Linked DNA regions of Cricetulus griseus. The main gene of each other region encodes a partner of the protein of the gene in region 2 in a complex. Links are inferred from orthologs where the notes say so. Each region holds a gene or a part of one and is shown on either strand. Other genes may lie near its edges. The genes, in order: Tnrc6c and Gigyf1.

Region 1 (14,726 bases), on a different chromosome or scaffold from region 2:
TTAATTCTATGGCAGAAGCAGGTCAGTGTTTGCTCAGGGACAGATCGCCAAGGAGGAGACAAGAGAAATGGGGGTGGAAGGGACAGAGACATTCTTAGGAATTGCTTGGTGTCATTTTGCTGGTAGTGACAGTTTCACAGGGGCATAATAAGTTCCAACATGAAGCAAACTGTTCTCTTTAAATATTTGCAATTTACTGCATTCCAATTATAACTCAATAAAGCTATCAACACACACACACACACACACACACACACACACACACACACACACACACACAGGAAAAGAGGCCAGATTCTCTCTCATTAAAGCAGACTGTCAGCAGCAGTGAGACCCAATAGAGAGGTGTTCCACCTGCAGGCTCACAGAAGCTGTGCACAGGCAGCACGGGAACCTGGACTAGGTGTCGCCTGCTCAATCTGTGGCCATGGAGCTTTGCTGACTTTCTTTAAAATGTCCATGTCCCTGACCAGAATTTGTGATTTACCAATATGTTTTTTATCTTTTAAAACAGTCTATGATCTGAAAAACACCTTAAGTCTTAACACACTTTTCCTTTGATCCTATGGGGAAAATTAACACATTTACTATCTCTCCCCCTTGGGTTGAAGAATAGAATTTTAAAAATTCCCTTAAGCATAGAACAACAGAGTCAAAGAAAGACAAATCTAACATTTAAAGCCTTAAGTTGTTCCCTAAAGATCCTTCACATAATAAATTCTTTCAGTCTTGTTTGAAAACTATAAAGAGTCTAAGTTCCTTCCAACGGTGAGCAGTTACACAGCTAACAGACACACAGACTGTGTTTCCAGTTGTGTGGTAGCAGAAACAATAATATACAACTGACAACAAGAGACCACAGTTCTAATTCTGCTACTAATGAGCTGTCATAAACCATTTAACTCCTTGGGATGGCATTTCCTCACTCAGTACTATGGGAGCTCGGAAATCCTGAAGGAGTCTTCAACTCCAAGATTTTAGTTAACTCACAGATGGGCAAATAAAGTGTCACACGAAGTAAAATGCACATTGCTGAGCCTACCGAACAGTCTGTTAGCTTCTGCCTTTAGAAGATGCTCACATCCTCTTAAGAGAAAATGAGTATAGGTCTGAGATTTTTGTCCATTTTATTTCACTGTTTAGCTCAGGAAAACCCAGATCTTATGTTTTATCAAAACCAGTTGCTGATTACTGTGTTCAAAGGACTGGACAGACAGCCATGGCTACCTCAGTTACTCAGAAGTACCACCCATCAGTGGGTGTGGAATGTGAGTTCTTGCTTCTTTTTGTCTCTATACCATAAAGTCAGGGTGACAGGCAGGCTCTCAGAACTCTTCACTCACGTTGATAACAAGCTTGTGTGTTTCAGGTGAGCTGTATGTAACCTGTGACTCAGATGGCTACATTGACAACAAAGTGCAGAAAAGGCTCTCTGTGAACTGGCAATCACACAGGGGACACATGTCAGGGCCGCACCTGCACCACCAAGATCTCAACTCAGTCGTCATAACTAAACATCAGGGGCACTTGCTTTCAGAGATGCTATAACTAACTTCAAATGTTTTATAGGAAAACTTATTTATTTTATGAACATAAAAAAATTAAGCCAGGCATTGGTGGTGCATGTCTTTAATTCCAGCACTCAAGGGGCAGAGGGCAGAGGTGGGCAGATCTCTGTGAGTTCGAGGCCAGCCTGGTCTACAGAGCGAGTTCCAGGACACAGAGAAACCCTGTCTTGGAAAGAAAAGAAAGAGAGCAGAGAGAAACAGGGACAGAGACAGAAATGGGGGGGGAGGGGAGACCTTCCTGCCAGCCTGTTCATAGACAGCATCATTATCTTTGCATTAGAGACTTAAAGAAGAGCAGCTAAACACCCAACCTCTGCTCTAACGATACCCTTAGTGATCTCATGACAGTAGGGACTAAAGTGCTGGGACTTTAGTGCTTGAGTGCTGGGACTAAAGGTGTGCGCCACCATTGCCTGGCTGGCAGGAAGGTTTTTAAAGGGCTTTGTGTTTTGGCATTAAGAGGAGTATGAACCGTGGAAAGTACTGGATTCTGGGAGTTTATATGAATACACAATGAGATGTAAAGGATGGCTACTAAACAGTAACTGGGAAATAGCTTGGATGGATTAGTTTCTCTTAGGATTTTTTGTTCCTTCACTCTGTGTGTGTGTGTGTGTGTGTGTGTGTGTGTGTGTGTGTGTGGTGTGTGTGTGTGTGTGTGTGTGTGTGTGTGTGTGTGTGTGTGTGTGTGTGTGTGTGTGTGTGTGTGTGTGTGTGTGTGTGTGTGTGTGTGTGTGTGTGTGTGTGTGTGTGTGTGTGTGTGTGTGTGTGTGTGTGTGTGTGTGTGTGTGTGTGTGTGTGTGTGTGTGTGTGTGTGTGTGTGTGTGTGTGTGTGTGTGTGTGTGTGTGTGTGTGTGTGTGTGTGTGTGTGTGTGTGTGTGTGTGTGTGTGTGTGTGTGTGTGTGTGTGTGTGTGTGTGTGTGTGTGTGTGTGTGTGTGTGTGTGTGTGTGTGTGTGTGTGTGTGTGTGTGTGTGTGTGTGTGTGTGTGTGTGTGTGTGTGTGTGTGTGTGTGTGGAGAAGCCAGAAACTGACATCAGATGTCAACCTTCTATCAGTCTTTACCTATTTTTTGAGACAGGGTCTCTCAGTGAACTTGGAGCTCACCAATTGGCAACACCAGGCCAGTGAGTCCCAGGCATCTTCCTATCTTCAACTCCCTGGAGATGGAAGGACAGGCATATGCCACTTCACCCAGTTTTTTACATGGTGTTGGTTAACAAGCACTTCACCAACTGAGCTAGTGGGATCTCCCCCTACCCTTTAGGCAAGGTCTCTGTCCGGTAGCCAAGGCTAACCCTTGCACTCAGAAAGGCATTAATGCAGAGCTGCCGTAAGGACAGAGGCCGAGCAGAGCTCCAGAGAGCAGCAGCAGTGTCTGCTGTCTGCAGAGAAAGCAGGGCTCCTGTGGTACAAGCTACGGGCAGGGTGCCAGAGGAAGGGTGCTCCTTCTGCAACTCCCCTACTTGGCCTGCTCTTTAGAACAAGCGTGAGACTCCCACAAAGAAATCAAAAGCCAGGACTTAAAAAAAAAAAAAAAAAAAAAAAAAAGCCAGGTGCTGGAGAGATGGCTTGGTGGTTAGAGAGGACCAAGGCTCTATTCCCGTCACCCACATGGCAGCTCACAACTGTCAGTAAGTCTTCCTCCAGGGGATCGCACATTCTCTTTTCCAGCCTATGTTAGACAGGAGGGACTCCTAACACACCCACACCACCTCCTCACTGCCTGGAAAGCTGCTGTGCTTCTCTGCCGACCTTCCCGACATGTGCTGCTCTGACAGGAGAAGGTGGGCAAGGGTTTGCTGTGCTGTTCCACAGACTCTCCTTGCTTTGTAGCTTTGTATTACTAGCCCTGGTGACAACAGCAGCAACAGAGTCACTAACGCCAGGGCCTAGAACTGGCCTAGCACAAAGGCAGTAGCTGAGGGCTCTAGGCAGGAAGGAGGGAACATGGAGATGTAGCCCTATGTACTGCCAGGCCACGACAGGGGAAACAAACAGAACACTGTGAGCACAAATGTTATCACCAAATCAGGCCATGTCCTTTCTAACACCAGTGCCTAGTCAAAAGTGTCACCTCACAACAGCTGATTCTGATGGCACCGAGTAATGATGGAAATCTGAGAAAAATGTAAACCCAACACTGCTAATAATCATCAGAAAACAATCTAGACTGGAGGGATGACTTGCTGATTAAGAGCACTGGCTGCTCTTTCGGAGGACCTGGGTTAGTTCCCAGCACCCACATGGCAGCTCACAACCACTCTCCAATTCCAAGAGATGTAGCACCCTCTTCTGGCTTCCATGAATGCAGGGCAAACATGTGGCACATATGCAAACATGCGGGCAATATACTCATACATATAAAATAGAAATAATTAATTAAAAAGAAAATTATGCACAAGTACTTTAGATTGTTCTGTTTCTAAGGACATGAACAACTGTTTTAGGACAGACCCAAAGGACAGTTGTAGGCACTGACAAAGTGTCCCACAGAGCCAGCCACTCAGAAGAGGTAACAGGAAAGCAGTCGGGTGCTGTCAGCACAGGCACACAGAGCAGAAGTCCCAGGCAAGGGGCAGCACAGTTTGTTCAGGCACCACGCAGCAGTGAAGGACAATGGAAACGAACTGTGAAAGTGACTCGTTTAAGGGGGATGAATGATACACAAAGAGTTCTGTTTTTGTAGATGACAGTAAGAACCACTGTTTTATTTGAAATCATAAACTCAAACACAGCCACAGCCAGTCCTTTTGGTCCATTTGAAAAGATTCTAACAGAGCAGAGAGGCCCTTGTACCCTGCTGCTTCTAATACTCATGTAACAGTGAACTAACTCAGCTCATGACATGACTCTAGTAGCCTGGCGCAAGGACTGAGGCACAGGGCAGAAGCCCAGGCTCCCCCGTTATGCCTGGACTATTACAAAACCAAGAACTTACAAGTCCTGTTCAATTATGAAGTTCAAGTGTAAGATCATACATGTAATTTTAACCTTGAAAACTGCCAGATGCCAGCTAGAAGTGAAGTACTAGAATAGACTGCAACTGAGAACTCTTGTAAAAGCCCTTATATTGCCAGCACCTACAAGTACAACTGTGTCCAAGGGAAGACAAAAAGATTTAAGTAACAGTGAAGTACAGCAACCTTTACTCAACATCAGTTACACTCTAGCTATTGGTCCCTTTCTTTTCCTGTGGGAGCTCACTTGTCTTTACAACAACTTTATAAGGCAAGAACAATCCATCACTTTTCTCATTTTAAAGATGCAATACCTGAAGCTTCAAGAAGGACCTTGTCATGGAGGGAACAGAGCTGGTCTGTGACCCACATGTGTCCCTACTGTGTCGAGTATGAAGTGCAGGGCATGGGCTCACTCTGAGCCTCCAGCACACCCAGCACGCCTGACCAACCCTGTTACAGACAAGGGTAAACAAGCTCTGGAAAGAAGCCTCTTACCCGTCACTAAGAAAGAAATAGACGATGTCTGCAAGGGAATAGCTGGCAGTAAGGAATTTCAAGCTTTAAAAAAATTTAGCCTTCTCTGGGTCTTATTCCAAATGAATCACCTTCCTGAATTCGATCCTTATTTGGTGGGAATTAAAGCAAAAGGAAATTTAAAGTGTTGTTTAAAACACAGATAACATTTTCTAGGCAGTTTTATATTAACCTAATGACAATGAAATGTAGATACATAAAACCAGTCACAAATGAAGAGCTTCACAATGTATAATAAATGTACAGTCAAAGACAGACTTAGATCCTTTGTTTTAATGTCACCTTCTGGGGTTCAGGGTTTAACAGCACTTGATGATCTTGCAGAGGACCTGGGTTCAATTCCCAACACCCACATGGTGGCTCACAACCATCTTAATTCCAGTTATAGAGGCTCCAAGGCCCTCTTCTGGGCTGTGTGGGCACTGCACACACTTGGTGCACAGACACACATGCAGGTGAAAATATCTATAAACATAAAATAAATTTTACAAAAGTCACCTCATTGCAAAGTTGGATACCGCTATAAAAAGTATGCCCCTCCCAAAATGTATATTAAAAACAAATAAACAACTTACCTTTGGTTTTTTGATCAGCAGCCTGAAAAACAAAAATCAGAAATGCTTTACAAACGGTTGTGTGGAATGTACACATTGATGAAAGTTTATAAGCAGATTTTTTTTTTTTTTTTTTTTTTGGGTTTTCGAGACAGGGTTTCTCTGTGGCTTTGGAGGCTGTCCTAGAATTAGCTCTTGTAGACCAGGCTGATCTCGAACTCACGGAGATCCACCTGCCTCTGCCTCCCGAGTGCTGGGATTAAAGGCGTACGCCATCAACGCCTGGCTTATAAGCAGATTTTAATTGGTTTAGGTTTTGCTCTTTTAGTTTCTTTAAGACATGGAGCCTTGACTATCCTGGAACTCACTGTGTAGATCAGGCTTGCCTCAAACTCAGACAGATCTGCCTGCTTCTGTCTCCCAAGTCCAAAAGTCTTGGATTAAGACTTAATTCTTGAAATTTTAAAAGCAAACCAGGTAATTTACTACTGAGAAAAATCAGTATTTCTCTACATGCCATGATTACATGACAGTGTTAAGTTACAGGCAAAAAAGTTTTTATGGAGCTCCCTATCTGCCACAGTCTAGAAGGGATCCTTCAAACCACATGGCACATTACTTAGGTGAAAGCAAAGATGGGTTGTATAATTTGGTTTACATGTAATGAAATAGAAGTATGACTATAAGGTTTAAAGAATTCTAAAAACCAGATTTTTAAGTGTGTGGTGTGTGGTGTGTGTGTGTGTGTGTGTGTGTGTGTGTGTGTGTCTGTCTGTCTGTCTGTCATGTGTGTGTGTCTGTCGTGTGTGTGTGGTGTGTGTGTGTGTGTGTGTGTGAGTGTGTGTGGTGTGTGTGTGTGAGTGTGTGGTGTGTGTGTGTGTGTGGTGTGTGTGTGTGTGAGTGTGTGTGGTGTGTGTGTGTGTGTGTGGTGTGTGTGTGTGTGTGTGTGTGTGTGTGTGTGTGTGTGTGTGTGTGTGTGTGTGTGTGTGGTGTGTGTGTGTGTGTGTGTGTGTGTGTGTGTGTGTGTGTGTGTGTGTGTGTGTGTGTGTGTGTGTGTGTGTGTGAGTGTGTGTGGTGTGTGTGTGTGTGTGTGTGTGTGTGTAGGTGCCCAAAGGGACCAAAAGAGGGTGTTGAATCCTCCCCTGGAGCTGGAGTTACAGGTGGTTGAACTGGGACTGAACTTGGGTTCCCTGGAAAAGCAGCAAATGTGCTTAACTATTGAGTCATCTCTTTAGATTGGTTTATACAACTTATTTTAACATTTATAAATAAGATTTATAAAGACTATTTACCAAGACTGCAAAAAATATTTCTAGCTTTTCTTATGCTGTCAGTTTCATGGCTCCTTCCTGATGTTTTAGATGGGGGCTGCTCTGGGCTGGATATAGTCCACTCTCAGAAGAAGGCATGAACATTCTTGCACATCAGCTACACAGCCCCTGGAAACAAGACTTTGCTATGTCTGGCTCTTTAAAAAAGACATTTTGCAGCTGGCACCCTAAATAAACTGACTTTACTAGCTAAGTACCCATTATTTACTAATTACAGATTTAGCACATTGATTTAAAACAGAAACAGAATCAAGCGTGGTCATGAGACAGCTATTCTAAGGCACATGTGACACACATGACTACGACGGTGTGGAGAAAGGAATTGCAGCAAACCTTTTTCTGAGCACCTTCCTTCTTTTTCTTGTCTTCCTGCTTTTTCTTTTTCTTTTCTTCCATCAAACGTTCCTCTTCTTGTGTTTCCTGTTCTTTTACCCTATTAAATATTTAAAAAGTGGTATTAGCATGATGACTGATTTAAAGCCCATTAAAAAATGAAAAAAAAAAAGAAAAAAACAAAACAAAACAAAACAAACAATCAGAACCAGAACTGGTGGCACAGGACTATAATCCTCGCTATTTGGGAAGGTGAGGCAGGAGAATCATGACTGGCCCACAGGGTAAGTTCAAGACCAGTCTCTGTATGTGTGGGAGGGTGCTGAATGTAAGAGTGTTTGGCTGCCTTGTCTGTGAGATGCCCTGGGGTCTGACACTCAACACTGGGGTAGAGGACAGGGATAGGATCGGCACACAAGGTCTTGAGCTAGACATACACAGGATGGAGACTCTTTGAGAGGATGAGAAATGGAGGTTCACCCAGGACTATAAAGTGTCTCAGTTATCTCATTTGTTTGCTTCACATTTGTGGAGAACCAGACTTGTACTGGGCATTGTATGAAGGACATGGAGTAAGGTACAAACCCATCAGACTAGTGCTTTTCCAAGTGTTGTCTCACACCATCACTGCATGTGTCCATTTGTGGTTTCTATCCTGCCCCACAAACCAGGCTTTTGGAGGCGAATCCCACGTACACTTAATTTCATGTTTGTCTGACCAAAGGATTATCCCTCTACACAGAGCCCTGTTCAGCTGAAGAGCTATTACAAGATACACAGCATGGAGGAACTCTGCTTTAAAAGGTCACAACAGCCTAGCCACTGGGCTATGGAGCTGAGGAGTCTAATAGCCCAAGTGGTCACTAACAATTGCCTGACAGCTCCATGCTCTCCCAACAAGACAGGCTCTGGCCCTTCTTCATTCAGTCAGAGACCTGGGAAGCGTTCTCATTAGAGGGTACAACAGGATGAGGGGCTCTCCTGACCCCTGGTGCTGTGGCACTGTAAGGTCAACATGTGGCTATGACGCCCCTGCTGATGACTACAGACCTAGGCTGAGCACAGGCACCCTTGCAGCTCTGGTAGTCTAGCATCCCATGCAGCAGCACTCCCAACACTCATCTTATCCCAGGCCTCCTGCTACTAGCCATTTGTCTCTCATGGGTCTCCCAATTAGTGGCCCTCTCGACAGAAACACTGGGCTCCAGCCTGCTGCACTGATAACCAATCCATACACTCAGCCTGGCAGTGCTTCTGGCTGCTCAGCAGCAGCAAACCTGCCCACAGCTCAGAGCATGTGCCAGCATGTGGGGACTCCCTTCTAAGCCAGCTCCTCTGTGGGGACTCTACCAGTTTAGGGGCCACACCACTTTCTATAGTTGATTGCTTGTTGTTGTTTGAGAAAGGGGTTCACTATTTGGCCCTGGCCTGCCAGGAATTAATTCATTATATAGACCAGGCTGGCCTGAAACTCAGAGATCCCCCTGCCTCTGCCTGTCTCCTGAGTGCTAGGGTTACCACTGTAAGATTAATACAGATGGGCAGGCATATTTAACAGATAAATATGAGAAATAGCGTGCCCAAATCTACCCATGCGTAGATGTTGCCTTGTATTTATATCTGTGAATATTCTTTCTTCAAAACAATGACTCCTCAGTTTCTGGTTTCCAGTCAGAATTAACTTGGGAAGCTTAGAAACATCCAGACCCGAGGCTGCTACAGCCATGTGGATGGGACCTTTGTGGACAGGACTCTGGCATTGGCACACGTACAGCTTCCGGAGGGCTCCAGATTCAATGCACATTATGAACTTTGAAAAATGACTATTCATGATCCCAGAGAAACTCTCCAGGAATGTTTCACGGTAAAAAAAAATGTTTTCAAAAAAAAAAAAAAAGTATACACTGTACTAAGCCATTTATATGCACAGCATTCTAGGTATAGGCGGCCTGAGTGTAACCAGGTATGCTCCAACCATACAGCTTCAGCTACACATCTAGGAAGAAAAAAAAAAAAACCATGTCAACAGTGGCTGCCTGCAGTCGGGCTTTCTTAATCTACAGCACACTGAGACCCTTAAATTATCTTCAAAGAGGAAATATAACAAAGGGCAGGTAGGGGCTCTGTGCTGCAGAGGTAGTCAACAGGAGGAGGAGTAAAATGACTTCGACTTAATTCTATTCATCTGCAAACTAAAGTAACAAAGGCCAGCTACTCTTCAGCCCAGGTGTGACCTTTGTTTGACTGCTCATGTTTACATGACAAAGTACCACAGCAGCAACCACCTCTACCCCTAACTTGCACTGTGCAGCTGCTATTTTTTTAGTAATAAAAAATGAACACATAATGACGTTTCTATTTTGTAATGTAGTACATGCCCATGGGAAAACACACACTGTACAAAGGTGAAAGTCTAAAGACTCCTTCTTTTCTTGTGTGTCAGCTGGAGTCATCTTAGACGCCATCAATGTATGCTCAAAGTTTCGGGGTACCCCTAAGAGTGCTCTTTGCGGGACGTCCTGAGGGCATAGTGCAGTGACACAGCACTTGCCCGGGCACATGTATGACCCTGGGTTCAATCTGGGTGGGTTGGTGGTGTGCAGCTGCAAATCCCAGGAAGCAGGGGTATCTTGAAATTGAGCCAAGACTCAAAACAAAAATAAAAACAAACAAAAAACACTGAACCAACCCAAAAAATTCTTCATGTGCTTCTTTTTATTTTTGGTTGTGAGCCTAGCTTTAAACGGCTGAGCCATCATCTCTCCAGCCCATGTACTTCTTTTTTAAAAGTACTAAGTGAGATGTACTTACTATTCCCTTTCTTCTATGTTACTTAATGATCCATCCCAGTAAGTGTGGGGCACGTTATTCCTGTGGTTTTGGTGAGTGCTTCAGCTCTGAGGGGAGGCTTCCCGAGTTCTGAAGGAAAGGGTATCCTGACCGCATGGAGGAGCCAAGGAATACTGCAAAGTCATGCCACACAACAAAACTCAGAGACTTATTGGGAGAGACACAAGAGGGTGGTTACCTCTGCTCAGAAGAGAGGCAGAGGGGAACTGAGCAGGAGGCAGGCTTTACATAGGAGTGTGTGTGTGTGTGTGTGTGTGTGTGTGTGTGTGTGTGTTTTCCCGGGTGTGTGTGTGTGTGTGTGTGTGTGTGTGTGTGTGTGTGTGTGTGTGGGTGTGTGTGTGTGTGTGTGTGTGTGTGTGTGTGTGTTTTTTCCAGGGTGGAGATTTCCAGAGTGGGGATTGCTGGGATTTCAGGCTCAGGAACCAGTAAATTTTGGTGAGTTTTCACACCCAGAAGTGGGCTTCAACATTTTACCCTACAGCCTGGCTCTGCTGTTTCATCAAATATGTGAATGTAGCCATGTAGCACATGGAAGGCACTTTTGTACTTTTTGCAGAACCCTTTTTCCCCTTCTGAGGCACAATCTATCCCACTGTGTTGTCCCCCTGGTTGGCTTGAACTCACTCTGTAGATTGTCTTAATGGTTTTGGTTTTTTTTTAATGATTTATTTGTTTTCATTTTCTGTGCACTCATGTTTTGCCTGGGTGTGTGTCTATGTGAAGGTGTCAGATCCCCTGGAGCTGGAGTTACAGACAGTTGTGAGCTGTCATGTCATGTAGGTGCTGGGAGTTGAACCTGGGTCCCCTAGAAGAGCAGCCAATGCTCTTAACTGATTAGTCATTTCTCCAGCCTCTGTTTGGAGTTTTTAATCACTGCTCTTTTATTTTTCTTGTACTTGTTTGTATTTTACACTTCTCTACTCACCTAGAGTTTAAAACCCTGCCTTTTAAAACACAGAGACAAAAAAACAGGACCTTGTGAATCCAGGCTGGCACTGAACTGGCTCTGTAGCTATGAATGACCTTCGACTCATGATTTAGGTACATTTACCTCCCATGTGCTGATATTTCTAGAGCTCCCTATCTAGCTCCATTCATCTGGGAGCAGGCCTCACAAGAACTGACATGTCAGGCACACCAGTTAAAAATCTAAAATTTCTGTAAAAGTATGTGGTACACTTTTCCCTTTTAAAGTACATATAGCTCAGGTCTGTCTGTGCAATCCATCAACCCTGGTTAAGTACAGCTCTCACCCCTCATCAAAGAATCTTCTTTTTGCAAAAGATGGAGATTAGTACAATGATACATAACTGGCCAAAATGCAGGGAACAACTAACCCTGGAGTGCCCAATTCCAATGGAAATACCTCCATCAGGCAATGCAACATCCCCTCCTCAGCTCAGGGAACATCACGGAAGAGGGGCAGAAAGACAGATTGGAAGAGCAAGTGCACGCAGCTAGTGTTGCCTACATGACAAGGAAAGGCACCCATGGACTCTCAACAACATGGTAACCTGAACAAGACCAACACACCAGCTGACATGCCAGCATGGACAGGGGAAACTCCGTAAGGTCCTACCCTAGAGGAGGGGCTAACAGGTAGTCAACGGCTTCTGAGAGAGAGGGAGAATCAGTTTTCTTCATGAACAAGCTCCCACGTATACACACACACACACACACACACACACACACACACACACTCACACACACACACACACGAATATATATGTAACAATAATAATTAAAGATGAGGTTGTAGGGCTGTAGAGATGGCTCAGTGGTTAAGAGTACAGGCTGCTCTTCCAGAGGTCATGAGTTCAATTCCCAGCAACCACATGGCTCACAACCATCTATAATGAGATCTGGTTCCCTCTTCTGGCATGCAGACACACATGCAGGCAGAATAGTGTATACCATAATAAGTAAATCTTTTAAATAAAAAAACAAAGATGAGGCTGCAAATTTGAGAAAGAGGGAGTACTGGAGAAGTTAGGAGGGAGGAAGCCTGAGAGTGACGCGGGGCTCATGTATGACACTCTCAAAATAATTTTTAAAAACCTAATGCATGACATTAGGGTAGAAAGACTTGCATGTTAATTTTCTCTCCAAATAAGTGACATAGACTAGTAGTGTTATTATCCCCAATGGCATGTAATTAGCATGCTTCCCCTTTCAAAACACAAACTCTGCATTTCCCCTCTCCCAGCCTCTACTTTCCTTCTTTGTGAGTCTGGCCATACTCACTCACTCACTCACTCACTCGCTCACTCACTCACTCACTCGCTCGCTCACTCACTCACTCACTCGCTCGCTCACTCGCTCACTCACGCTAACCCTCCTGTGGTCTCAGCAATGCCGAGTGCGCTCTCCCAGGCTGCTGGCATTCACACACATGTTTCCAGTATCGCACTAGCTACCTTTTTACATTCAACTTCACATTTACTCTGTGTGAGTGTCTTGCTTGCGTGTGTGAATTTGTGCTGTGTGCAGGCATGAATGTGTGCTGTGTGCAGGTATGAATGTGTGCTGTGTGCATGCATGAATGTGTGCTGTGTGCAGGTATGAATGTGTGCTGTGTGCAGGTATGAATGTGTGCTGTGTGCATGCATGAATGTGTGCTGTGTGCAGGTATGAATGTGTGCTGTGTGCAGGTATGAATGTGTGCTGTGTGCAGGTATGAATGTGTGCTGTGTGCAGGTATGAATGTGTGCTGTGTGCAGGTATGAATGTGTGCTGTGTGCAGGTATGAATGTGTGCTGTTGGCATGTATGAATGTGTGCTGTGTGCATGCATGAATGTGTGCTGTGTGCATGCATGAATGTGTGCTGTGTGCATGCATGAATGTGTGCTGTGTGCATGCATGAGCTAGTAGAGGTCAGAAGAGGCGCATCCGATCCTCTGCAACTGCAGTTACAGATACTTGTGAGCCACCATGTGGTGCTGGGAACTGAGCCCAGGTCCTCTCCAAGAACAAGTGCCCTTAGAAGCTAAACTCTGTCTTGAGCCCATGAATCACTCATTTTGATCTGACTCAAACTGACAGGGCAGGAAGTCAGGACACAGACCCAGCACAGGGAACCACTAACATCCTTACCTATCCAGTGGGGTTCATTTCAATGTTTTAATTCAGTCATTCCATGATTTGCCCTTGTATAACTGCTTGCCTATCTTGCTGTAAAATAAAAGTGTCTCTTTAAGAAAAGGTGCATGTTGCCACCGGGCATTGGTGGCGCTCGCCTTTAATCCCAGCACTCAGGAGGCAGAGGCAGGTGGATCTCTGTGAGTTCGAGACCAGCCTGGTCTACAAGAGCTAGTTCCAGGACAGCCTCCAAAGCCACAGAGAAACCCTGTCTCAAAAAACAAAACAAAACAACAAAAAAAGAAAAGGTGCATGTAAGCCAGGATGGTGGCGCACCCCTTTAATCCCAGCACTTGGGAGGCAGAGGCAGGCAGTTCTCTGGGAGCTCCAGGCCAGCCTGGTTTATAGAGAGTTTCACGACAGCCAGAGCTACACAGTGGGACCCTGTCTCAGGAGGGGTGTGGGGAGAAAAGGGACTGGAGAGACGGCTCAGCAGTTAAGAGCACTGGCTGTTCTTGCAATGACCCAGGTTTGATTCCCAGACTAACTCATAACTGCCTGTAACTCCAATCCCAGAGAATCTGACACCTTGTGCTGGCCTCTGTGCTTACTGTATGCACATGGTGCATGGACATACGTACAGGCAAAACACCTATACACATAAAAATAAAGGGAAATTTAAAAAAAAAAGAGTAAGAATAAAAGGGTATGTAGAAGTGAATCTCTAGAAACTGCAAGCTTCATTTTTTGTTAGACTGGGCCTGGTGGGTCTCATATATCAGTTTGAGAATTGATTTGAAGGCACGATGCTCCTGCATCTCAGCACATAGCCTGAGTCAGAAGGACCATGCCACTGAATATAAAATCCTTTTTAGGTCATATGTTTTTTTCTGCAGATACAAATGTTTCTCTTACACTTGAGCTCTGAAACTCCCTGAATGTGCGTCTTCAGTGATTTCTGTGCTCACTATTCACACTTAGCGTGAAAGATGGATGTTTTCAAGCCAGGTAAATCTGTTTTCAGCGCTTTGTTTCGTGTGTGTGTGTGTGTGTGTGTGTGTGTGTGTGTGTGTGTGTGTCTGTGTGTGTGTGTCTGTGTCTGTGTGTGTGTGTATGTGTGTCTGTGTGTGTGTGTGTGTGTGTGTGTGTGTGTGTCTGTGTCTGTCTGTCTGTCTGTCTAGTGCTGCAGGTAAGAATCTAGTCCTAAACCAGGAATAGTAGTGCACATCTTTAATCCCGGCAGGGGCAGGGGCAGGGGTGGGGCAGAGGGATCTCTGTGAGTTCAAAGCCAGCTTGGTATACATAGTAAGTTCCAAGACAACCAGAATTGCATTATTGTCTCAAAAAAACAAAAACCAGAACAAACAAACAAAATCCAGGTCCTGGCATGCTAAGCAAGTACCCAATAGCCACGCTGTGTGGCCAGACCATGGCTACTGAGATAAGGTCTTGTTCATAGCTTCGGCTGGCCTGGGACTTGTCTTCCTGTCTCAGCATCTCCAGTGCTGGAATTACA
Region 2 (14,909 bases):
GCCGCTCACTTTCCATCTGCAGCTCCAGCAGAGTCTTCATGGATAGGCCCTGCTTGGCTAGGCCGGCCCAGAGTGGGGGAGGGGAGCTTGGCGCAGGGGGCACAGGGACACTTGTTGCTTGCTGCTGCTGTAGCAGCTTCAGCAGCAGTTCCTGCTGTCGCACCTGGGTGAGGCACAGTGGATGTTGGTGGCTGTCTGGCACCAGGCACAGGCCAGGTCCAGGAGACAGGTGGGACTTGTACCTGCTTGCGCCGGAAGAGCTCTTCCTCTTCCTGCCGCCGCTTTTGCTCCTCCTGCTGCTGCTGCTGCTGCTGGCGGCGCTTTTCCTCACGGCAAAGGCGTTTGCGCTCCTCTTCCTCCCGCTTTGCCCTGAGCTCCACTTCTCTGCGCTCTTGAAACTGCAGTGACAAGGACATTCGTTAGCTGGGAGGCTGCGCCTGCTTCAGCTGGCCTGCGCCAGGCCAGCAGGCTACTTACTTTATGTTGCAGCTGGAGTTGTTCTAGAATTGGACCCTGAGTCGAAGAGTTAATTGGTATGTCCCAAAGACTGGCTTCACCACCTGCAGAAGAAAGGCAGCTGCAGAGACCCAGACCCAGCAGAACCACCCGCAGATAGGAGGCAGAGCCACCAAGTGTGACAAGCAGAGACTGGGGGGTAAAGGGGACCAGGGTGTGGCATGGGGCAGGTTGGCCACTCACCTGACTGTGATGAAGCTGAGGTATGTAAGTCCCAGAGGGGGCCCGAATCTGGCACCGACAAGGACCGGCTCATCGTCGGGAGCAGGTTCTGGTCGCCACCCCTTAGAAGCAAACAACTGGCCCTCAGGACACTGCATTACCTGTAGCTTGACCTCCTCCTTCTCTACCTCACACCATCACACACACACCCCCTCCCACACACAGACAAACCCTCCCACACTCACCCCAACACTCACACAGACACCCCCCCACACTCACACACTTAGTACAACAGACCTGGGGGTTTTGAGAGCCTGGAGCTGCTGCAGGAACGCAGTGAGCTGCTGCTGCTGCGGCGGCGTCAGGTCCCCCATAGCTGCCTTTTCCCGGAGCGTCGTACACTGCGGGAGCTGGCGGCTACAGACATACTGGGCTCAGACGGTATTACCACGTACAACCACTGCCCTGCCCACACCAAGCCCTGAAGTCCCCATACCTGCCGACCAGCTGCAGAAAGTGCTGGTGCTGCAGCTGCTGGTACAGGGCTGCGGCAGCCAGCTCCTGCTGCTTCTTCAGCCGCTCCTGATCCATGTTTCCCTGCGGGAGGTCAGAGCATGCCCGTGTGAGTGTGCCCAGCAGGAGCATGCCCAGCAAGTGAGGCAGTGAGGTAGTGCCTGAGGTCCTGCTGCTGCCCCACTGGTTGCCTTCCCTGCAACCTGCAGAGCAGACAGTGCTCACCAGCAGTGGGGGCGGCGAGGGCCCGGGGGCAAAGGGCACACGGCCCCACATCTTGATCACCTCTCCCAGAGGCTGAAAACCCTCATCGCAGCCCCTCTTCACTAGGAGTGACATGGAAAAGTAGCCTGCCTGGAACCACTCAGCCATCTCCTGGGTCGTGAAAGGGCCTGGAACAAGGGTGTGAGAGGGGTTAGGAGGTGGCCATGGCACGTCAGAGAGCACACGGAGCAAATCAACTCCCAGCAGTCTGCTACCCACAGCTACCTTGGATTTCCCCCTGTGGGTCCTTGTAGAACCACTTTCGGGCAGCGCCATGGCTGAGGGGAAGGGCAGTGGCGGCTGTGGAGTGGCGAAGGCCCTGTGTCTGCATGGCGGCCGTGAATTGCTCCTCCTCCAGGGAGCTGTCCTGCAGGGAGGCCACCAGCTTCTCTGCCTCCTGGGAGTCCAGAGAGAGAGGCAAGTCTGAGAGGACTGATACCACAAGGGCCATGTCAGACAGATCTAGGACACGTGGGACAAAGGTCTCTGCAACCCCAGAGTGGAGGCCCCTTGAGCATGCACAGGCACCCCCCCAAACCTGCTGCAGGTGCTTCAGGCCTTCTTCATCTTCCAGATCTCCAGGTGGGCCAGGAGGTGAGCCAACTCCAGGACTCAGAGACAGTCCCCTCATCTCATCTCCTGGGAGAAGAGATGGGAAAATGGGGAGGGGCCGAGGAAGGGACAGGATGGCTCTTGTGCCTGCTAGGAAAATGGCTCTTGCCACAACTCCAATTCTGTATCCACACCCAGCACTCCCTTTTCCATCAGCTCTTGCCAGTCTACCTTCAGCCGGTGGAGGCTCTTTCTCCACTACTTCATCACCATCCTCGTTCGTTGTCCAGAGAGGGCCCAAGGCAGGCAGTGGAGATGGGGAGCTGGACTTTTCTGGAGGAGGTAATGGCGTCACCTCCTTCCCACCTGGAAGGAACACATGACTACTTGAACTCAAAACTGAAGAGGCTGAGGCTAAGGAGTCGGCTCAATGCGTAAGTGTTTGTTTCACAACCATGAAGAGCAGTGTTGAAATCCCAAGAACCTGTATAAAAGCCACACATGGGAGTGGGAGTGGGAGGCAGAGAGAGGAGATTCTCCACAAGCTGGTAGGCCCAACTGAGCCTACCTCCAACAAGGTGAACGGCAGGGACTATACCCACTATACCCACAATTGTCCTCTGCCCCCCACATACTCTGTGGCACATATACAATAAAAATAAGAGAGCAGGGGGAGACCATGCCAGTGAGATAGCACAAAGTAACGTGTACCAGTTCCCAGACCTTGGGTGGTATGTCTATCCTTTCTAACTTTGGTCAACTCCCTAACCAACCAAGAAGTATGGATGCAGAGAACTGAGCTGTCTGCACTGCGCACACTGCCTCCCGGCCCTGCTCTGTGAGATATTGGTTAGGTCCTACAAGTGATGAGGGCTGTGTGGGTGGGTGCCTGCAGGCTTTCCACATGACTCCAAAGGTCATTCTCTTCACACCTGATAAAGGTCTCTCTCCACATCTCTGACTATTGGCTTGGCACATGCACGTGCACATATGTTAGAGGACGACTTGGCTCTTCCCTGCAAGGTTTTAAGGGCTCACCTGCCTCAGGCCCCTCTTCATCCACTCCTTCTGAAGGCTCCTCCTCCTCTTCCTCCAGGCCCTGGAAATCAAGCTCTTGCTCCTCGGGAATAGGTTCCTTGGGACCCTTCTGTGTGAGAAAGGGCAGAGTTGACAGTGGGAGAGGAGTTGAGGGACAGCTTCCATCAACCCCAACTGGCCCCTGAGAGGGTACCTTAAGAGGCAGGAAGGCCCCAGAAGCATCAAAAGTGCCCATCTCCTCATCTTCATCGTCCAGGCACCACTCAGGGAGCCCATCCTTGTCATCTTCAAAACCATCGAGCCCCCGGCATCTCCGGAGGTGAGAGCTGCCTCCCCCAAGTCGCCCGTCCTCTTCACCACACGCTCCTCGTTCCCCTCGTAAATCAAAATCAAACTTGCGCCTCCGCTCCCCATGCTCCCGCCAGCCAGCAGAGCGGGGACCACCATCTGGAAGAGAAAGTTAGAGAAGGAAAACAAAACAAAACACAAAAATGAGTGTCCAGCCAAACCAGGATTTGCCTTCTTCAGCTCACCAGGTCTTCCCAAGAAGCATGGCTTCCCCAGGATGTCCTCATCCCTCATATGCATGACCACCCCTTCCCCAGTATCGGCCCCATGGGGGCAATTTTCAAACTCCACCTTGCCCCATCTTACCAGGGCTGGTGGAACGCCAGCGATCACCATCTCGCCGGGGTCCTGCCCCGAGTCTCCAGCTGCCATCCTCCTCTTGCTCCTCTCGTAGTGAGCGCCAATTCTCACTGTCAGAGCGCGCATGCTCCTTCCTCGGGCCGGCCCCCCCCTCCTCAAACCCAGACCGTGCTGGCATGGGGGAGACAGACAATGAGCACCAAAGAACCCTGTGACAGGGTTCTGCCCCCCCTCCACCTGGGAGCCCATCTCAATCGCCTCCCTACCCTACTGGCCACACACGCAATGCTCTCATACCTCCATCCCTCCTTGCAGACTTCTCAAACCGCCTCTCACCTCTGTGGAAGAAAGATGCTGGTCAAAACATATACACCATCCCCTCTGCAGAGGGAACTAGGGGACAATCAGGCTGGGGAGAAAACAATAGGACCCCCAAACCAACGAATGAAAGGATGGGTAGGACCCAGAGGGCTCTGGCCAGGGCTGGCCTGTTTCTAGTTCTTGCTACAGACACCTCACTGCCAGTCCAGCCCCCACTCCTCTGTTCTGCCTGCCTTCCTCATCTTTCACCACACCTGTCATCCCAGCTCTGGCTTCGCTGGATCTCCCGGGGATTGCGTCCAAAGGCCCCATCGCCTTCCTCAATGCTTCTTTGGTAAAAGCAGCTGTCACCACGGCCACGGCCTGAAGGAAGAGGGGTGACATCTGGGTTTGGGACCTTCCCGTGACCCTCTCTCTGTATCCTTAGTACCACCCATTCAGACTCTGCCCATCTCCTCCCCTGAAAAACATGGGAAGTCATCCTCTACCTCGGCTCCGTGTGCTGCCCCTGCCACGGGAGGTGGCAGCCAAAGGGGGCCCAGCCCCTTTCCCCATCAGCCTCAGCACAGCCACACTGTTCACTGACAGGGAGAAGTTTCTCTGAGGAGGGAGCCAGGGAGGGGAGTGAGGACATATCACTCAGTCAATCCCCATCCTCTCAAGCCTGGCTTCACCTTCCTCCACCCGAGGCCCATTTGCCTCAGCCCGGCTGGGCCCAGCCCCACCTGCTCCTCCTCAGTCAGAGGTTCCAGGGCCAAAGGTTGTAGTGGCTCCTCTTGTAACACTGCAGTGAACTCCTTGTCCTGCAGCTCCTCAGGGACCTGTGATGGGACAGGAGGCCCAATACATTATACATTCAGGGGCAACTCACTGATAAGGCAAATGGGGAAGGGAACCTCACCTTGTTCTCCTTGACATAGAGGGCCAGCATCTCCTCTCGCCCATAGCGGTAATCTGCCAGCTTGTATTTGGGCATGGCAGGGGATGGGGGTGGAGAGGCCACATTGCCACCACCTGAAAGAGCCCTCAGCCTAGAGCAGGCACAGAAAGGAAAAAGGGAGACGAAGGTCCATGTGGCCCATCCCCACTGCCCTAGCTTCTTCCCATGGGCCAGAGCTTGAGCAACCCACCACTCAGGTCCAAAGTTGAGTGTCTCTGCTGCCATCGTGGAGCTGAGATGCTTCTCAAAGGTCAAGGATTAGTAGAGAAGAGAGGACCAGGCCTTGTACTGTCCAAATACCTGTAGGGCCACAGACAGGGCCATCGGTAAGCATCTGCAGGTTAGTCATGGGGCCAGCACTTTACTGGGCCAGTGACAGGCCTCATCTGGATGGTCAGCCACTTTGGCACTGAAGAACTCACCTACACCAGACACGAGACCACTCACACCATGAGTTAACCCAAATCAAGTCAGGGTAGAGGACAGTCCTAGAGGAAGGAATTAGAGAACAAGGAAGCTTGAGCCCTTTCTGCCTCAGTGGGGCGCCCTCTGGTGGTTCATCACTCACCTGACAGTCCTGCCCTGGGAAGTAGAGGAGGCACCGGCTCTTTTGGCAGGGCCTGGGCTGAGCTTAACTAGAGTCTCCAAGCCACTAGCTATCGTCTACAGCCTCAGTGGTGCCAGGGAGGAACTTTCACATCTGGGAAAGATCCTTAGGGAGAAGAAAAGGAAGAGGTTGGTTACACCAGTGAGTCAGATGGCTTCCCAACCTCTGGCCCACAGCTGCGGATACAGAGCACGCAGGGCACATGTACAGGCATGATCACTGGCCAGTGGTGCTGGCATGGGTTTGCAGCACAGAATATAGCGAGGAGGTGACTTTCAGGACCACAACCCAGGTCAGTAAGCCACCAGAACCAGACATGGTGGTGCCCATGCTTGCAATCCCAGCACTCTGGAGGCAGAGGCAGGAGGATTTCAAGTTTAAGGCCAACCTGGGACACATTGTAAGACCTTGCTGCAGAAACAACAAATGGACTGGGGATTTAGTTTAGCTGGTGGATTGCTATTTATCACACATGAGCCCTAGGCTCTGTCCCCAGTACCACAGAGAAAAGGTGTGGTAGCACATGCCTAGGATACCAAAAACTTGGGAGATGGAGGCAGGAGAGTCAGGTCATTCTTGGCTACATAGAAGTTCAGGGTCAGCCTTGGCTACATGAAGCCCTGACTCAAAAAATAAAACACAAAGGCACTGGGGCCATGATGTTCTATAGAGGAATGGTCCATTTTGGAGAGTGTCACAGTAAATCTTGAAACAAGGTAACAAAGATGATGTCCCTAAAGAAAAAACAAACAAAAAAACAAAACCAGAGGACTGTATCTGGTCAGGAACCAAACCAAAAAAAAAAAAAAAAGTGCTGCCAGAGCATTCACAACAGTGTTAGATTGCGCGTGCGCGTGCGCGTGCGTGTCCACAACACCCCAGGCTCATCTATGGGAGCCAAGCCCTAAATTCCTTCCCCTACATCAAGAACTCTCTCTCAGAAAAAAGGTGAAGGTGGGACCAGGGTTCTCAGATAGTTGCTGGCACCTCACCATATGGGAAGAGGCAAGTTCAGTGTCTGAGGCTGATGAGGCAGCAGGGGCAGGTTCCTCTAGGAGCCTGGGTAGGAGACTCTCAGGAGATGGTTCATCCAGGAAGGGCAGAGTAGAGGAGGAAGGGCAGGCAGTGTCCAGGGGTTGTGTGTAGGTTTCTATCACTGGCTGGGCAGGAGGCTGGACCAGTGTGCCTCTGCAGTCCCCATCCGCTGTAGGATGCCAGGGATCTAGAGGAAGGAAGAAGGGGGTTTCTACCAGAGAGGCTTCAGAAAGAGGGTCTCCCCTGTAGCTCAACTGAGACACCATGCCAGACAATGGGGTGACCCAGAATCCCAGCACCCTAGGATCTAGGGTGACTACACATGGCTGTTTGGAGACAGCAAGAGCCTGGGCTGTCCCAAGTGGCCCATAGCCCAGTGCTGCAGGATACTCTGAAGGCTTGCCTCCACAACCACACCTTTCTTAACTACCACCCTGGGGGATCTGGAACTAGGCAGACCCCAAGAACATGATGCTAAGTGTAACAAGTCGGGCACAGACAGCTAAGCTCTGGGGTTTCGGATGTCACTAAGCTGGCAGAGAGCTTGCAGAACATACACGAACACACTGGGTTTGACCTCAGCATCACATACACCAGATGTGGTAGGATACACCTATAATCCTAGCACCCCGGTGGTGGGTGCAAAAGGATCAGACTTTCAAGCTCCCCTACTCCCCACCCCAAGGAAAAGCAAACAAACAAGGAAAAGCAAACAAACAACACTAAGAGGGGCTGGCGGTGTTGCTCAGTGGTTAAACAACTGTCTAGCATGCACAAGGCCCTGTCTTCAACCACCAGTACTGCCAAAAGACAGACTTGGGGCTGGAGACAGACACTCAGTGGTTTACAGTGCTTGAGGTTCATCTAAAGGACTTGAATTCGGTTCCCAGCACTGAAGGAAAACAAAAAACAAAAAACAAAAAAACAAAAAACAAAAAAACAAAACAAAACAAAAAACCACCACACACAAGAAAGATAAAACCTCTGTAGGATCTTTCTTACAGAGGATCCAGGGGTTGGGGGCAGGTCAAACACAAAGACCTGGGGTTGGGACAGAACTACTGCCAAATGATGAATGGGTCCAGGATTTCAGCTGGGTACAGGGGAGGGGTGTGGAGACATCAGTGGTGACAGGTGATGGCAGCACAACCCTGAAAATGTATTGACATTAACCCCACAGAACTGCACACTTTTGCCTCAACCTCCTGAGTGCTGGGATTGTAAGCATGCACCACCATACCTGGCTTACACCCATCATTCAATTTTTATTTCTTAATTATGTGTATGTGTGTATGGTGGGGGGAAGGACGGTGTATGCCCTGGAATGTAGGTGTCCAGAATCTAGAAGGTGTTGGCTCCCTATGTCACCTGACATGGCTGCTGGGAATCACACTCAGGGCCTCTCCAAAGGGTCGTCTCTGCAGCCCTCAACAATCATTTTAAGAAAGCTTTAGTGAGGTTGGTGGCTTAGGATATGCTTAGCATGCATAAACCCTAGGCTACCACCCTCAGTATTTATTTTTTAAAAAAATATTTTGTCAAAAAAAAAAAAAAAAAAGACAGGCGTTGGTGGTGCACGGCTTTAATCCCAGCACTTGGGAGGCAGAGGCAGGCGGATCTCTGTGAGTTCGAGGCCAGCCTGGTCTCCAGAGCAAGTGCCAGGATAGGCTCCAAAGCTCACAGAGAAACCCTGTCTCGAAAAACCAAAAAAAAAAAAAAAATTTGTAGGGCAGGGAAGATGGCTCAGTCAAGCCCCAACACTCACATAAAAGCCAAGCACAACCCTAGCACTAGGGAGGTAGAAAGAGGAGTATCCCTGAGACTAGCTAGCCATCCAAAACCTGTTTTTATTGCTGTTAAGTAGAGGGCTGGAGAGATGGCTCAGTGGGTAAAGTGCTTGCTGTACATGCATGAGGACCTGAGTTCTAATCCCCAGAACCCATGCAAAGACAGATGTATAGTGTCCCTACAGGGAGATGGGAGGTGGAGAAAGGAGGACCCCTGGGAGCTCATGAACCAGTCAACCTCAGGAATGATGCCTTCAGCAAGACACCTTGTCTCCAATAAGGTGGAAGGACCAACATCTGAGGTATCCTCTGACCTCCATGTGTGTACACACTCACACATGCATATACACAAAGGCTAAAAAAGCAGTAAGGCAGACAGCAAAAGAGAATGATCTGCACGTGCTCATACACAAAGCTTTAGGGGGAAAAGCCATTGTGGGGGCTAAACACTTTCCCCATTCCAAACTAAGAACCCTATACTCCTTCAAACAATCTCCAAAGTGACAATCTGGGGCCTTCTCAATCCTTCTGGTGGAGCAGGCAGTGTGGAAGGGTTGTCCAGTAGGAGAGATCAAGGGGTATCCTACCCTAACCTTCCTGCATCCTCCTACCCTTCATGCGGCTGCCCCAAGGAGAGGCAAGCTGGCTGTCAGCTCAGCTTGGTAAAGGTGCTTGCTGCCAAGCCTGATGACCTGAGTTTCATCCCTTAGAACCTACAAGATGGAAGGAGAGAAGCCACTCTTCCAAGTTATCCTTAGATCTCCACATGCATGCTATGGTGTGCACACACACACTAAGTAAGCGAAGGGTGGGGTGGGAGGTGGACATGATGACACCGTTCATTTAAAAAGGGAAAAGAGAAGAAAAAGAACAATAAGCAAAGGCAACGTGGATACAGCAGGGCCACTGCAGAGGCGAAGGAAGGCCTAGGGGAAGGAGTGCAAGCTCCAAGGCCTGCAGACCAGCCTGAGAAAGTGCCAGGGACTAAGCAGCACGGAAGGGGCTCAGGAAGCAGCAGGCAGCCCACTATGTGATGTCTGAAGCCATGTACTCTCCACTGAGGGAAACTCGTCCCAGAGGAATATGGACAATGACTGCGGACACTGAGGCCATCACAGCTGGACAGAAGGGTGCTACTGGATTCTAGCAGGTAGAGACCAGGATGCTATGGACCACCTTACAAGCCACAGGACAACCCAGAACAAAGAGGTATGTGGCTCAGTTGGCAGAATGCTTGTCTAGCATGCACAAGGCCTTGGGTTCAATCCCCAACAACGCAGACGGTGCAGGCCTGTCATCTAGCATGTATCCAGGTAGAGACAGGTGGCCTCTACCCATGAGCCTCAGTGGAGACACTGGAGCCTTAGAGAAGCCTGCGGGCTCCCTTGCCCCTCAACAGCAAGAAAAGGCTTCCCTCATGACGCAGTCGCATGAGAAAAGCCCCAGGTCCTTCCAGGGGGCAAGGCCTGGAGAAGAGAACAGGTTGAAAAGCAACAGCATCAGGCCGGAGAAATGGTTAAGGAGCTTGTGGCCAAGTCTGATGACCTGAATTTAATGCTCACGGTGGAAGGAGAGCACCTACTCCTCCAAGCTGTCCCCTGACCCCCATACACACCACGAGACATTACTTGCGTACATGCATGTGCACGCACACACACTCTTTTAAAAATGAGAAAAAAAAAAATCAAACCATAAGTTTGTCAATTCCTCAAAGCTAAGCACCCACACCCCTTTCTAATAAAGAAGCCCATGGGCAGTGGTGGAGCAAGCCTTTAATCCCACCACTCGGGAGGCAGCGACCAGCCTGGTCTACAGAGCAAGTTCCAGGACAGGCTCCAAAGCCACCAAGAAACCCTGTCCCAAAAAACAAAAAACAAAAAACAAAAAACAAAAAAAAAAAAAAGAAAGAAAGCAAGCAGGAGAGCAGCAGGGTGGGGACCACACCTTTCCCCACCTCACCTTCTACTGATGCCTCAGTGAAGGTCTTTTTCTCCCAGGCCAACTCCAGTTTGCCCTCAGGCTCTGCCTCACAAAGCCCCCTCCCCACAGCCTACTTCATCTCCCCCAGCACCTGTGCTCTCTTGATACTAAAAGAGTGGCCCCTGCTGGAGACATAGGCTGGAGCTGGAGCTCGCAGCTTCCTTGAGGGACCTGGGCTGCTCCTCTTATGCCAAGAACTCTAAACACAAGCTGAACACAATTAGGGACAATGCTTTCCTTACTCTGTCACCCCTAAACTTTGTTCCAATCTAAAGTAATGTAACTTGGCACCATCCTGTACCACTGTTAACAGAGTCAAAACCCCAAATATCCTAAACTTGAGCAACTGCCCAACCACTTAGCCTGTTGAAGACAACTTTCCCAAGATGGATGGATGGAGAGACACTGTGTCTAAGTATTCTCCCTCCATGTATAGTGGAGGAGGAAGGACTACAGGACCCCATCAGCCCTAGGGCAGCAGTTACCCCTGCTCTACTCTGCACCACAGTGACAAATAACCCCAGCACTTGGCAATTGTGAATTACTTCACAGTTTTCAAAGCATTTTCACGCTTTACCTCATTTGATCCCTGCTGCCAGCTAGCCTAGGCAGGGGACTCTACTACATAGAAAATAAAGTTACAGCTTCTCTGCCAGGGGACCCTGACACCCTCACCATCCAGCCAAGACTGACAGAGCATCCTGAATGTGCGGGCTTCCTATGTGAGCCTGAGGCCCTTTTTAATTCCTTCTTAGACTTTGGGCTAATGATGCTTGCTGAGACAAGGTCTCATGCTGTAGCTGAGGTTTGCCTCAAACTTAAAGCAGCCCTCCTGCTTCTTGAATGTTCCCATGATCTGCACAGGCTTCCAAACCAAGATTTTTCTGAGGCTTTCATGTTTTGCATGTGTGTACAGTGTCAGTGTTATGTATTCAAATTCACATGTGGATGCACATGTGTGCATGAATGTAGAGGCTTGAGGGTGATGCCTAGTATCTTCAGTTGCTCTCCAACATACTTACTGAGGCAGGTCTCTTGCTGAGGCAGAATATGCTGTTTTGGCTAGTCTAGCTAGCCCTCTTGCAAGGGGGATTCTGCCTTCCTGGGATGGCTGGGATGACAGGTGAGCCTCCATGGGTGTTTATGTGGCTCTGGAGACCCAACCTCAAGAGCTTCAGCCACCAGCGTCCTTTGCTCAAACTTTTGCGTCACCTTTCTTACCGAAAGCTGAGCTGTCTTTCTTTTTCCTCTCTTTTATCACTAGTGTATGATGTGGCAGAGGGGCACACATGGGGGCAGAAGTAGGTTCTTAGTCAATAGGCTTGCAAACCAAGTGCCTTGACCTACTAGGCCCTCTCACCATTGGGCTGTTTTCCTACCCTAAATGCCCAAAAGAGACATACAAGGCTAGGGTTAACTTGGGGTCTCTTATTCACTATCTCCACAAACCACTACTTTGTAATCATTAGGTGACAAAGCTAGTCAACAAAGGTGAACAGACTTTAAAATTTTACTAAAATCCCCAAGTGGGACACTCAAGAACCGGGGCCCACACAGTCAACGGAGAGAAAGCATAAGCCAACTTCCTCAAATCCTCCCCCAATTCGGGATACCGGTGTCCCACCTATGACACACAAGTTGAGCTGGGAGGAAGGGTAGCTGGCCTGGGGCTGCAAGGGGAACAGTTGGATGGGTAGGTGCCAGCGCAAACCAGACACTGGTCTAGATGGGCTGCGAGTGTCAGGAGAGAGTGGTGTGCCAGCTTGGAGGGGCCATGGCTGCTGCTGGGAAGGGGCTTTTGCTGAAGGGTAGCAGCACTTTTGAGCAGTGAGAAGGGAGTAGGGCCGAGGCCACCAAGTATTTATTTAGCATCTCCCAGGCACAGCACTTGCAAGCTGTTTGGGAACTGTAGTAACTATTGGGTCTAAAAGGGGACACAGAAGGGTCTTTCAACTTGAAAAAAAATTAAGAGAAAGAATTCTAAGCAAACTGTGAGTAACAGTGACCTGCAGCTGTCCCATCTAGCGGGAACATATAGACTGAGAAGAGCCTGGTCTAGTGTCAGGGAAGCCCAGCAGCCCCAGCTCAGACAGACAGGTGTCTCCCGCGGCCGGACAACTGAGATGAGAAGAGGGACCTCGATGACCAAGCACTTAGGTGGCCGCTTAAAACGCAAGAAACCGAGGTGACGACCCGAGACGCGGCGCTCGGGCAGAATAAAGCTTCCATGTTGGCCGAAGTGCTAGAACGCCTGGACCAGAGAGCCCCGCCAGGCCCGCCCGGTTCGGCTCCCAGAACCGGGCTGGGCATGGAGGGGGGGAGAGGGGACACCGCCAAAAGGGGAGGTCTGGGCGCGCGCGCCGCACGGCCGGCGGAGGCCCGGTCCCCGGGCGGGACATTTCGGTGGGGAGCCCGGAGGGGACCCCGGGGACGCGACCGTTACTTAGGGCTGCGCACGGGGGTGCGGGAAAGCGCGGGCCGGGAGGACGGCGTGCCCTTCAGGGAGGGGCGCCAGGTGCGCGGGGCGCGCGCGGACCGCCCCGGTCCCCTCTCCCTCCCGTCCTCCCGCCCAGAGGGGCGGCAGCCCCCACCCCGCCCGCCCCAGCCGGAGCGGGAGCCCGAGCCGCGGCCGCCGGGGCCGCTCCGGAGGGCGAGCGGGCGACACGTCCAAGGAGGAGGCCGCGCGCGCCGTGGCTCCGGCCCGGCTCCGGCCCCGCCGGCCGCAAAGGCTCCGGGCGGCCGCCTGGCGTCGGGGCGCGGGCCTGCTCCGGTGCTCGCGAGCTTACCGGGGCGCGCGAGGTGCCCGGTCCCCCGGGCGTTGGTGACCGGGGCGCGCGGCGGCGGCGGCGGCGCGGCGGCGGGTGGCGCGCGGCGGGCGGGCGGGCGGGCGGGCGGGCCGGCGGCGGCGCGGCGGCGGGGCGGGGACGGGGGCGCTGGCGCTCCCGCGGCGGCCGCTCCTCTCTGTTTGTGTTTGTAAGCAAGATGGCTGCCCGCCTCGTACCACGTGACAGCGACGCGGGGCCGCCCCCTCCAACGCCGCCCGCCGCCGCCGCCGCCGCCGCCGCCGCCGCCCGCCGCCGCCGCCGCCGCCGCCGCCGCCGCCGCCGGCGCTCTTGGACTCCGACCCGCCTGGTCCCCGCGCCCGCCGCGGCGCACCCCGCACCCCGCAACCCAGCCCCGAGCGCGCCGGCCCGGGAGGGAGCGCAGCCCGGTCACGTGACGGCACCCCGCACCCGGGGCTGGGTGAGGGGGCCCCGGCCTCCCGGCCCCGCCGCCTCCGCGGAGCCCGCCTGGGTTAGAGGGGACACCCCGGGGAGGCCAGCACTGTCCCCGCGACGCCGTCCGCGGCTGCGGACCGTGAGTGCGCAGGGACGTGGGAGGCGCAGGAGGCCGGGCCGAGGCTGCCGGCTGGGTAGGCTGGGAGCAGCCTCAGCAGCAGCGTCCGCGGTTGGAAGGCAGCGAACCCCAGCGCCGAGCAGCAGCTCCACACAGCCTGCCTGTGACACCTTCTCCCAAAACTAGGCCCCAGGAAGCCCGAGGCGGCACAGGCTGTAATGCCAGCGCTAGAGCGGTAGACAGACAGACAGACAGACAGACAGACAGAGGGGTCAGGAGTTCACGTCACTGTGTCTACGAGTGTTCTGTAACAATTTAAGACATCCAGAAATGACTTTTCCGTAACACCGAGGGACTCATGGTGTGAAAGTTTGCTGTGTGCCTTCGTAGTTTGCTTTGAAAGTGTGTTTCCTCCCTCTCGTCCTTACTTCGTGTGTGTGTGTGTGTGTGTGTGTGTGTGTGTGTGTGTGTGTGCGCGCGCGCGCGCGTGTGCGTGTGTGTGCGCTCGTGCGCGCGCGTGTGTGTCTGAGTGTGTGTGCATGCGTTTCCTTTCTTCCTTCTTGTCTTCTGTTGTCTCTTTTTGTTTGTTTTGAGACTCGGTCTCACTACATAGCCTTTGCTGGATTGGAATTTGCTATGTAGACCAGGCTGGCCTCCAGCTCAGAGAACCACTTGCCTCTGCCTCCCAGTGGCTTAGTTTTTGAAACAGTCTCACACACTGTAGCCTGGGTGGCCCTTCCACTAGCCCAGAAATCACAGTGGTCTTCTTGCCTCCAGGTGCTCAGCTTTACAGGCATGCACTTCCGTGCCGGACACTGTTTTGAACATTGTTTCTGGGAAGTGCCAGTAGCTCCTGCAGTCCTTGTAGTTAGGGAAGTAAGTGGAGACAGGAACATCAGGAGTTCAGGCAACTTGAGCCATTGTCTAAAAAAAACAAAAAAACTAAATACACAAAGGTTCGTGATTTTGCCGATTTTTGCCCTAAGAAATTTTTTTAAAGATTTTTTTCTATTTTTATTTATTATGTATACAGTGTTCTGTCTGTATGTACACTTGCATGAAGAAGAGAGCACCAGATCTCATAATGGATGGTTGTGAGCCACCATGTGGTTGCTGTGAATTGAACTCAGGACCCCTGGAAGAGCAGTCAGTGCTCTTAACCTCTCAGCTATCTCTCCAGCCCCCAAAGAGAAAACTTTATATGTAATCC

The links.
Region 1: the proteins of Gigyf1 (region 2) and Tnrc6c are in contact, whole or in part, in a crystal structure (PDB 7RUQ), measured with the Homo sapiens proteins. The link is inferred for Cricetulus griseus from reciprocal best matches to the Homo sapiens genes GIGYF1 and TNRC6C. Residues at the interface, in NP_001362694.1 of Homo sapiens: Tyr479, Asp481, Pro482, Gln487, Phe490, Trp498, Tyr503, Phe504, Leu508; in NP_001136112.2 of Homo sapiens: Arg1719, Pro1720, Pro1721, Pro1722, Gly1723, Leu1724, Thr1725.

What each region holds. Positions count from the first base shown.
Region 1 is NC_048600.1:130,237,217-130,251,942, reverse strand, and holds the start of Tnrc6c (trinucleotide repeat-containing gene 6C protein), read right to left. Parts: upstream 9,137-14,726; 5' UTR 7,345-9,136; coding exon 7,282-7,344; intron 5,661-7,281; coding exon 5,639-5,660; intron 1-5,638. UniProt on the Homo sapiens protein: Plays a role in RNA-mediated gene silencing by micro-RNAs (miRNAs). Required for miRNA-dependent translational repression of complementary mRNAs by argonaute family proteins.
Region 2 is NC_048597.1:116,434,981-116,449,889, reverse strand, and holds the start of Gigyf1 (GRB10-interacting GYF protein 1), read right to left. Parts: upstream 6,969-14,909; 5' UTR 6,554-6,968; intron 5,667-6,553; 5' UTR 5,523-5,666; intron 5,443-5,522; 5' UTR 5,377-5,442; intron 5,255-5,376; 5' UTR 5,180-5,254; coding exon 5,145-5,179; intron 5,046-5,144; coding exon 4,916-5,045; intron 4,836-4,915; coding exon 4,740-4,835; intron 4,615-4,739; coding exon 4,503-4,614; intron 4,378-4,502; coding exon 4,269-4,377; intron 4,032-4,268; coding exon 3,991-4,031; intron 3,865-3,990; coding exon 3,700-3,864; intron 3,493-3,699; coding exon 3,239-3,492; intron 3,155-3,238; coding exon 3,046-3,154; intron 2,374-3,045; coding exon 2,239-2,373; intron 2,095-2,238; coding exon 1,994-2,094; intron 1,853-1,993; coding exon 1,681-1,852; intron 1,584-1,680; coding exon 1,417-1,583; intron 1,276-1,416; coding exon 1,175-1,275; intron 1,096-1,174; coding exon 976-1,095; intron 801-975; coding exon 700-800; intron 561-699; and 5 more. UniProt on the Homo sapiens protein: May act cooperatively with GRB10 to regulate tyrosine kinase receptor signaling. May increase IGF1 receptor phosphorylation under IGF1 stimulation as well as phosphorylation of IRS1 and SHC1.